2 linked regions of the Sus scrofa genome follow. The protein of the gene in region 1 interacts with the protein of each later gene in a pairwise test. Links are inferred from orthologs where the notes say so. Each region holds a gene or a part of one and is shown in the gene's direction. Other genes may lie near its edges.

Region 1 (3,314 bases):
CCACAGCGGGAACTCCTGGATTAGGGCCCACTTTCCTGACCTGCTTTAACTGGATGGCCTCTGCAAAGACCCTCTCCAAATAAGGTCGCACTCGGGTGCTGGGGATTAGGGTTTCAACATGGATTTGAGGTGTGAGAGGGACACAACTCAACCCAAAATGTAACCTAAAAATGAATGGCAATAAAATCCAACGCCAGCAACATGGTTACCCGTGGGCATCTTGAGATTTTGCAGAAAACCCAGGCAGCTCTGTCCTTACCTTCGATCACCCAGGAACCCCTGCTGGGGGCCCAGGGTCGGTGTTGGGGAGGGGGGCGTGTGAACAGGGGACAAAGTCCGGGTGGAAGAGCTGAGTGCTCTGACCACAGGTGAAGCCAAGGACCCTCCGAGGTCCCCAGACCCTGGTGTGGAAGGACCTGCCTCTTGACGAGGCCTCAGCAGGGAGGGGGAGTGCAGGGGATTCGTTCCTCTCCCACCCCCGCCGCAGTGGGTATCTGGCAATGTCTGGAAACAGTTTTGTGACAGCTGGTCGGGGGGCACTTACTGACAGCTCCTTGTAGGTGGGGGCTGCATTTCTGTGACCCGAGTCCTTCAGAGAAAAAGAACCGCCTGGGGCAGGGTCAGCTGGAGCCTCTGGGTGGGGGCGGCCGTTCCAGAGCTCAGGCCCCTCCAGCCCTGCCAGGGGGCGGTCAGCTCTGGCTTCAGTGGATCCCGCTGCATAGAGGGGTTTCTAACGCCTCTCCTGGTCCTGTCTTGGTAACTTCTCGAACATCCGGCTGAGTGAGGCCTGGGTGGCTTGGAGAAAGACCCTCTAGGCAAGAATAATCCCCACTTCACCCAACCCACAGGTCCGTCTCGACAGATGATGACCAGTGAAAATCCACCAAAGGGTTTTAAGCAGCCTCACCCTGGGCCACTTGAAATGAAATTTGAGTCACCAACTAAGCGGCCTGCTGCAGACCCTGCATTTAGAAGGGTGTGCCGGGACCGTGGAACTGCCACCCCTTCTCAAGGCATCGCATGGCACATTGTTTTTTGTTGGGTTTTAAGTGGCAGGCACACAGCCTACCTCTCAGCCAAAGAGAATAAATTATTTGAGGGTCTTTAATCCTTAACCCCCCCCAAAGCCCTCCCTGTCTTTTCCAGGCTCGGGAATCTGAAGTCATTGCCCAGGTCACAGCTAACGGGTGACCATGGTTCAAGCCCAAGGCAGCCTCTGGTCCAAGCTGTTGACACTGCAGTGGCAGACCGCCTTTCTAGCCGGGCTGCGTCACCCTGGTGACAGGTCCGGGTTCTTGACCTGGAGGGGGGCCTGGGTCTGCTGGGGACATGCAGCTGTGCGCCGGGCAAGGGGCTGGGGCTGCCCAGGTCTCGCGCTCCCCGCCGACTGGGTGCCCGGAGCTGTCGGGTCCGGCAGCACCTTCTCTGTGGCTCCCGGAAGCTGCTGCCCAGGCGGGAGCTGTCCTCACCCCCTCTCCCGCCCCCAGTTCCCTGACATCGTGGAGTTCAGCGAGACCATGGCCAACGAAGGCAAGACCGTGATTGTGGCCGCCTTGGACGGGACCTTCCAGAGGAAGGTAAGGCGTCCGGGCCTGGGACCCGGGAGGCGGGGGGCCGGGGCCGTGCAGAGACGGGCTCCTGGGGCCGCGGACCGGGTCCGCCGGCTGCAGGCGCCGGGCTCTGGGGAAGGCCAGGGCAGGGCCTCGGTCCCTGGCTTCCGTGCTGGGAGGCAGCCTTTCCGGGAAAGGGCGAGCTGAGAGCGCCCGTCTCTGGTGGGACCGCAGGCTTTCGGGAGCATCTTGAACCTGGTGCCCCTGGCCGAGAGCGTGGTGAAGCTGACGGCCGTGTGCATGGAGTGCTTCCGGGAGGCCGCCTACACCAAGAGGCTGGGCGTGGAGAAAGAGGTAGCTGCCCTGCCTTCTCCCGGGGGCGCGGGCGGGCGGGGCGGGGGCCGCCGCGCCCCCCTCAGTCCAGGCACCTGGTGTCCCGTGTCCAGGTCGAGGTGATCGGAGGAGCGGACAAGTACCACTCCGTGTGCCGCCTCTGCTACTTCAAGAAGACAGGGCTGCCCATCGGGCTGGACAGCAAGGAGAACAGAGAGAACGGCCTGGCGCTGGGCGTCAGGAGGCTGTTCGGCCCCCATCAGCTCCTGCAGTGCAGCCAGGCCAACTGAGGCGCCGGCCCGCCGCTGAGCCCCGGAGGCCGCCTGCGCCCCAGGAGGAAGCGGGGGCGGTTGTCCAGCACCAGGAGCTGCCCGCCCTTCCGGCCGAGGCCGGCGGTCTGCTCGGCACACTTCCCTCCTGGGCCGCCCGCTGGCCTCTCTCAGTTCCCGTCCCCGCTGCTGGGCCGCTGCTCACAGGCCGCCCCAGGCCGGAGCTGGCAGCTCCGTGGCGAGGGGTCTGGCCCCGGCAGACGTCCCCTCCGCTCCCCCGGGGTGAGGCTGGAGCCACAGCCGCTGACAGGGGTGCTGCTGGCCTCTTCCCCCTTTGTGGCTTTGGCTGCCGAGTTTCTGTTCTTGCTGGGAAGCCCGAGCCCCCACCTCTGGCTGGCACCGAGCCTCTCGCGCACACAGACTGAGCCCCTCTGAGGACAGCCAGACTGGGGCACTCTCACTTCCCTGTGGCCTGCAAGCCCTTCCGGGGCTCAGCTCCCAGGGCTCCTCTTTTAGGGAAGGGCTGTGGCCTTCTGTCAAGTTCTCTGCCATGAATAACCACCTGGAAAAGTTACTGTGTGGTGAGAGCACATTCTCAAACCGCCTGGGGCTTCCCGGGCCTCGCCGCGGAGAGCGCTGACGTGATTCGGGTGCGGGGATTTCTCTCCAGTTCTTTTTCTAGTTCCGCTGTCTCTTCGCCGCAACCGGTTTTGGCTGAGAGACGGCCATGAGGCGTGTCCAGAGAAGCTTTCCTGGCTCTTCTGTCTGGTTGGGCATCCAGACAAGAAGGGTAGATGGAGCCCGGGGCCCAGGCTGGAAAGATGAGGCTTTGGTCCGTGCTGCCAGCTCGTGCTGCGAGGCCAGAGTTTGTGAACAGACACTTGACAGTCCAGGAGCCAAGAAGCCCAGCTCTGCTGTGCCTCGGAAAACCGGGCTGTGGGCGGCTTGTGTGGAGGCGAGGCTGCACCGCAGGGGGTGCCAGGCTCCCCATCCTCCCGGCTGCTCCCTCCCCCTTGGCTCTGCTTGGTCCCAGGTTCCAGAGGTGCAGTGCAAGGGTCAGACTGATTCCCAAACCCTGTTGGTTTTCACTCAGGACCTTCAAACGGCCGGGCCCACTTCTGACAGCTCCGTCAGTGCTCAAAGGGGCACGTCCAGAGCTGCA
Region 2 (3,750 bases), on another chromosome or scaffold:
TCAAAAATGGGAACTCCATCCAAATATTCTTGGTGAGGCAGTCTTGTGACATAGAGACCAACAGACTGTGCTTCATATCTCAGCTCCCCCATCTCTTAGTTATGTAACCTCATCAAGTCACCTGTGTTTGAGCCACTTACATTGCAAAGGAATGACATGAAACATCAGGCTGGAAGTAAAGATCCCGGGGCACTGGTTCCAGCCAATAGAAGAGAGTTTTGATTTAGGCTAATATTTTGGAGAAGTTGCTGGGACAAAAATAAGCACTATGCCACTAATTGCAAAGTACACTATTGATCCATCACTATTAGTACAAGTAAATACTGAGACCAATTTCTGTAAGTCGTACACGGAAGTCCATTTTATTATCGTAATATCTGTACACTTCCCTTTCTCCTGTTCCCTTTCTTCTCTCCACTCTTTCCAATGGTTTGTCATTTCCACCCACTGCATTATTTAGCCTTTTTCACTCTGGGTAAAGGTCAGCCCACTTTGAATTTAATAAGGTAGATTTTTTTTTTTTTTTTTTTTTTTTTTTTTTTGCTTTTTAGGGCCGCACCCGTGGCATATGGAGGTTCCCAGGCTAGGGGTCTAATCAGAGCTGTTGCTGCCAGCCTACGCCAGAGCCACAGCAATGCCAGATCCAAGCCCGTCTGTGACCTACACCACAGCACACGGCAACGCTGGATCCTTAACCCACTGAGTGAGGCCAGAGATCAAACCTGCAACCTCATGGTTCCTAGTCAGATTCATTTCCACCGGACGGAACTCCTAATAAGGTAGATGTTAAAAGCCACTATGCCAACTCTGTGAAGGGTGACTGGGAATGGATTAACCTAGGGTATTAGAGAGGAGTTGAAGAAGTGATTGACAACATAAGCTCCTCATGAGGAGGAGACAGGTTAACATCAGAAGCGAGCGAGCTTGTGGTTATCAGTATTCTATCCTGCCTTTTGCCTTTGTTTCCAAGGCACAAAGCCCTCTAGGGTTGAAGAGAGCCATGAGCCGGTTCCTGAACGTGTTACGAAGCTGGCTGGTCATGGTATCCATCATAGCCATGGGGAACACGCTGCAGAGCTTCCGAGACCACACCTTTCTCTATGAAAAGCTCTACACCGGCAAGCCAGACCTCGGTGAGAAAATAGAGACCTGCATCCCTTGGGGGAGCGGGGGGTGGCCTAAATTGCGGTTCTCAACCAGCTATCCATCCACATTACCTAGAAAAACTAAAACAAAGCACAGCTGTCCATGGCCCTCTCCAGACCTCCTTACTGAAACTTTCACCCCCTAGATGGGGCCCAGGAATCTGTTTTAAAAACTTTGCAGGTGAGGGAGTTTCTGTTGTGGCTCAGAGGTAACGAACGCAACTAGAGTCCATGAGGATGCAGGTTTGATCCCTGGCCTCACTCACTGGATTAAGGATCTGGCATTGCCTTGAGCTGTGGTGTCGGTAGCCAGTGCGGCTCTGACCTGGTGTGGCTGTGGTGTAGGCTGGCAGCTACAGCTCCGATACAACCCCTAGCCTGGGAATTCCATATGTCACGGGTACGGCCCTAAAAAAACAAACAAACAAAAACTTCCCAAGTGATTCTGATACTGCCTACTCTAGCCTTTGGCTGCCACTAGAGTCACAGACGTGATGGATAGATGGCACTTGGTCCTCTTTTCCCCAGAGCTTCTCCGAACATCTTTTCATTCATCTTAAACTGCCCTAGGCAGCTAATCTGTACAAAAAGCATTACAAGTGAGGAAATAGAGGTCTTTGGTGACTCTGTGGTGCTTGACTTGAAAACCATAAATAAAGAAGCTTTTCATATTAGCTCAGCGCCCATCAGAAATCAGGTCGTGGTACACGTAGTTTACATCCTACATTGCAGATGGAGGGTTACCTGTCCAAGATCTTTTCAAACTATGACATAGACCCTGCAGAGATATCCAAAATCCCTCCAAGTTGGTCTCCCAAAACTAATTTCCAAAGGCCCATAGTGGCCTTTCTCAGTGTCCTGAGCCTCTCTGCTGAGAGTGTTTGCACACTTCAGCTTGCACTTCTTGTGCTACTGTAAGGGGTGGCTTGAGCTGCAGCACCATTTCATAGCAGCTGACAATTCTGTGTCACATTTATAGCTAACCCAGATTCAGGCTCTGACCTAGCTCACTTCTGCAACATCTGGGCATAAAAGGAAACTAAGTAGGCTATGGCTCACTTTGAACAAAGCTCAGATACACTAGGAATAAAGAACCTGGAAACCTGGAAAGTGGCCAGGACAATTCCACTTTTCACCCTCAGTGCTGCTCCTCAGATAGTCTGGGAACCCTGTATAGACTCACAGGTTTAAAACAGAGAAGCCCATGGGGTATGTGATTTGCTGAAGGGCATATAGCTGAGCAGAATTCTGTGTGTGTGTGTGTGTGTGTGTGTTTACTAAAACATTACATCTGGTGAAGAGCAAAGATTTTACTACACCTCAAATGCAGAACACATGAAGCAGAGAAATGTTAGCTTTTTAAACAGAAGCAGATTTTTTAAAAAGATGCAGGACCCCTTCAGTTCTTCATCAGTCGTGTGTGTACGTCTGCAGCCCAGAAATAGAAACTGCCTCCTCCCTCATGACCTCGGGGCTGTCCTGGTGCTTTGCTGATCAGGGCAAGACCCTGGAGTATCCCGTAGAATTTCACCTGATGCCTAATCTGGTTACGCTTCGGGAGATGTTCCACTTTCGTATTTTACTCACTAAAGAAAGTTTCTGTTTTTTCATAAGAAAAGCTGTCAAAATGCTTTCTAAAGAAGATAGCCCTCCACAGTGTAACCACTAGATATTTGTTTGGTACATGGAATTTTTTCTCACCTTACTACCATCTGAAGGTAGTTGTGAATTTGGTATTGCCTGGTTTTCCAAAGGCTAGAAAACCTTGAAGCCCAAATTGACCTTTCAGTCGCCAGTCTTCCTTACATTTTCTCATGGTTCATTGACTATTTGGCATTCCGTGCTACTGGATGCCTTAGATCAATGCTTGTACATTAAAAATCACCAAGGCAAGGAGTTTTTAAAAGATACCATCTGGGCCTTGAATTTACCTTTGGAGCATGTGATTTAACTGGTCTGGTATCCATGTCTTGGAATTTTATAAAACTTCTTTAGCTGATTCTATTAACTGTCCAGTGTCAAGAAGCACTGGTGGAGTTCCTGTCGTGGCTCGGGAGTAGCAAACCTGACTAGTATCCATGAGGATGGGGGTTCGATCCCTGGCCTTGCTCAGTGGGTTAAGGATCCAGTGTTCCATGAGCTGTGGTGTATGTTACAGACACAGCTCGGATCTGGTGTTACTGTGGCTGTGGCATCTGTATCTCCAATTTGACCCCTAGTCTGGGAACTTCCACATGCCGCGGTACAGTGCTAAAAAAAATTTTTTAATTAAAAAAAAAAAGAAGCACTGTTAGAGCAAACTGTAATCTCTACTCTCAGGACACGATATTTAATATAGCAATGCCAGAATGAAACTGCCAAGAGCACAGTGGCCCCAGCAAACACTAAAGAAACTGCTTTGTTCCCCTCCCATTTACACAGAAAACCAGCCTGGTTTGGGTTTTGTTCACATAGTAGAGATCTGGATGCAGGAACAGACCCATGGACTTGGGTCTCTTAGAGACGGATGTGGGCATTCAGGTAGGTCCCAGTTTTCTGAGCGCTCTGCCGTATCAGCCTATAAAGTCTACTGAGCTCCTAGGCATCTCGTATTGACAGACCACTC

Evidence for each region.
Region 2: the proteins of TK1 (region 1) and C7H14orf1 interact in a two-hybrid assay, tested with the Homo sapiens proteins (2 studies listed by BioGRID and IntAct). The link is inferred for Sus scrofa from reciprocal best matches to the Homo sapiens genes TK1 and ERG28.

The regions. Positions count from the first base shown.
Region 1 is NC_010454.4:3,792,099-3,795,412, forward strand, and holds the end of TK1 (thymidine kinase, cytosolic), read left to right. Parts: intron 1-1,487; coding exon 1,488-1,577; intron 1,578-1,784; coding exon 1,785-1,904; intron 1,905-1,996; coding exon 1,997-2,173; 3' UTR 2,174-2,726; downstream 2,727-3,314. UniProt on the Homo sapiens protein: Cell-cycle-regulated enzyme of importance in nucleotide metabolism. Catalyzes the first enzymatic step in the salvage pathway converting thymidine into thymidine monophosphate.
Region 2 is NC_010449.5:98,816,893-98,820,642, reverse strand, and holds the start of C7H14orf1 (probable ergosterol biosynthetic protein 28 precursor), read left to right. Parts: upstream 1-1,000; coding exon 1,001-1,133; intron 1,134-3,750.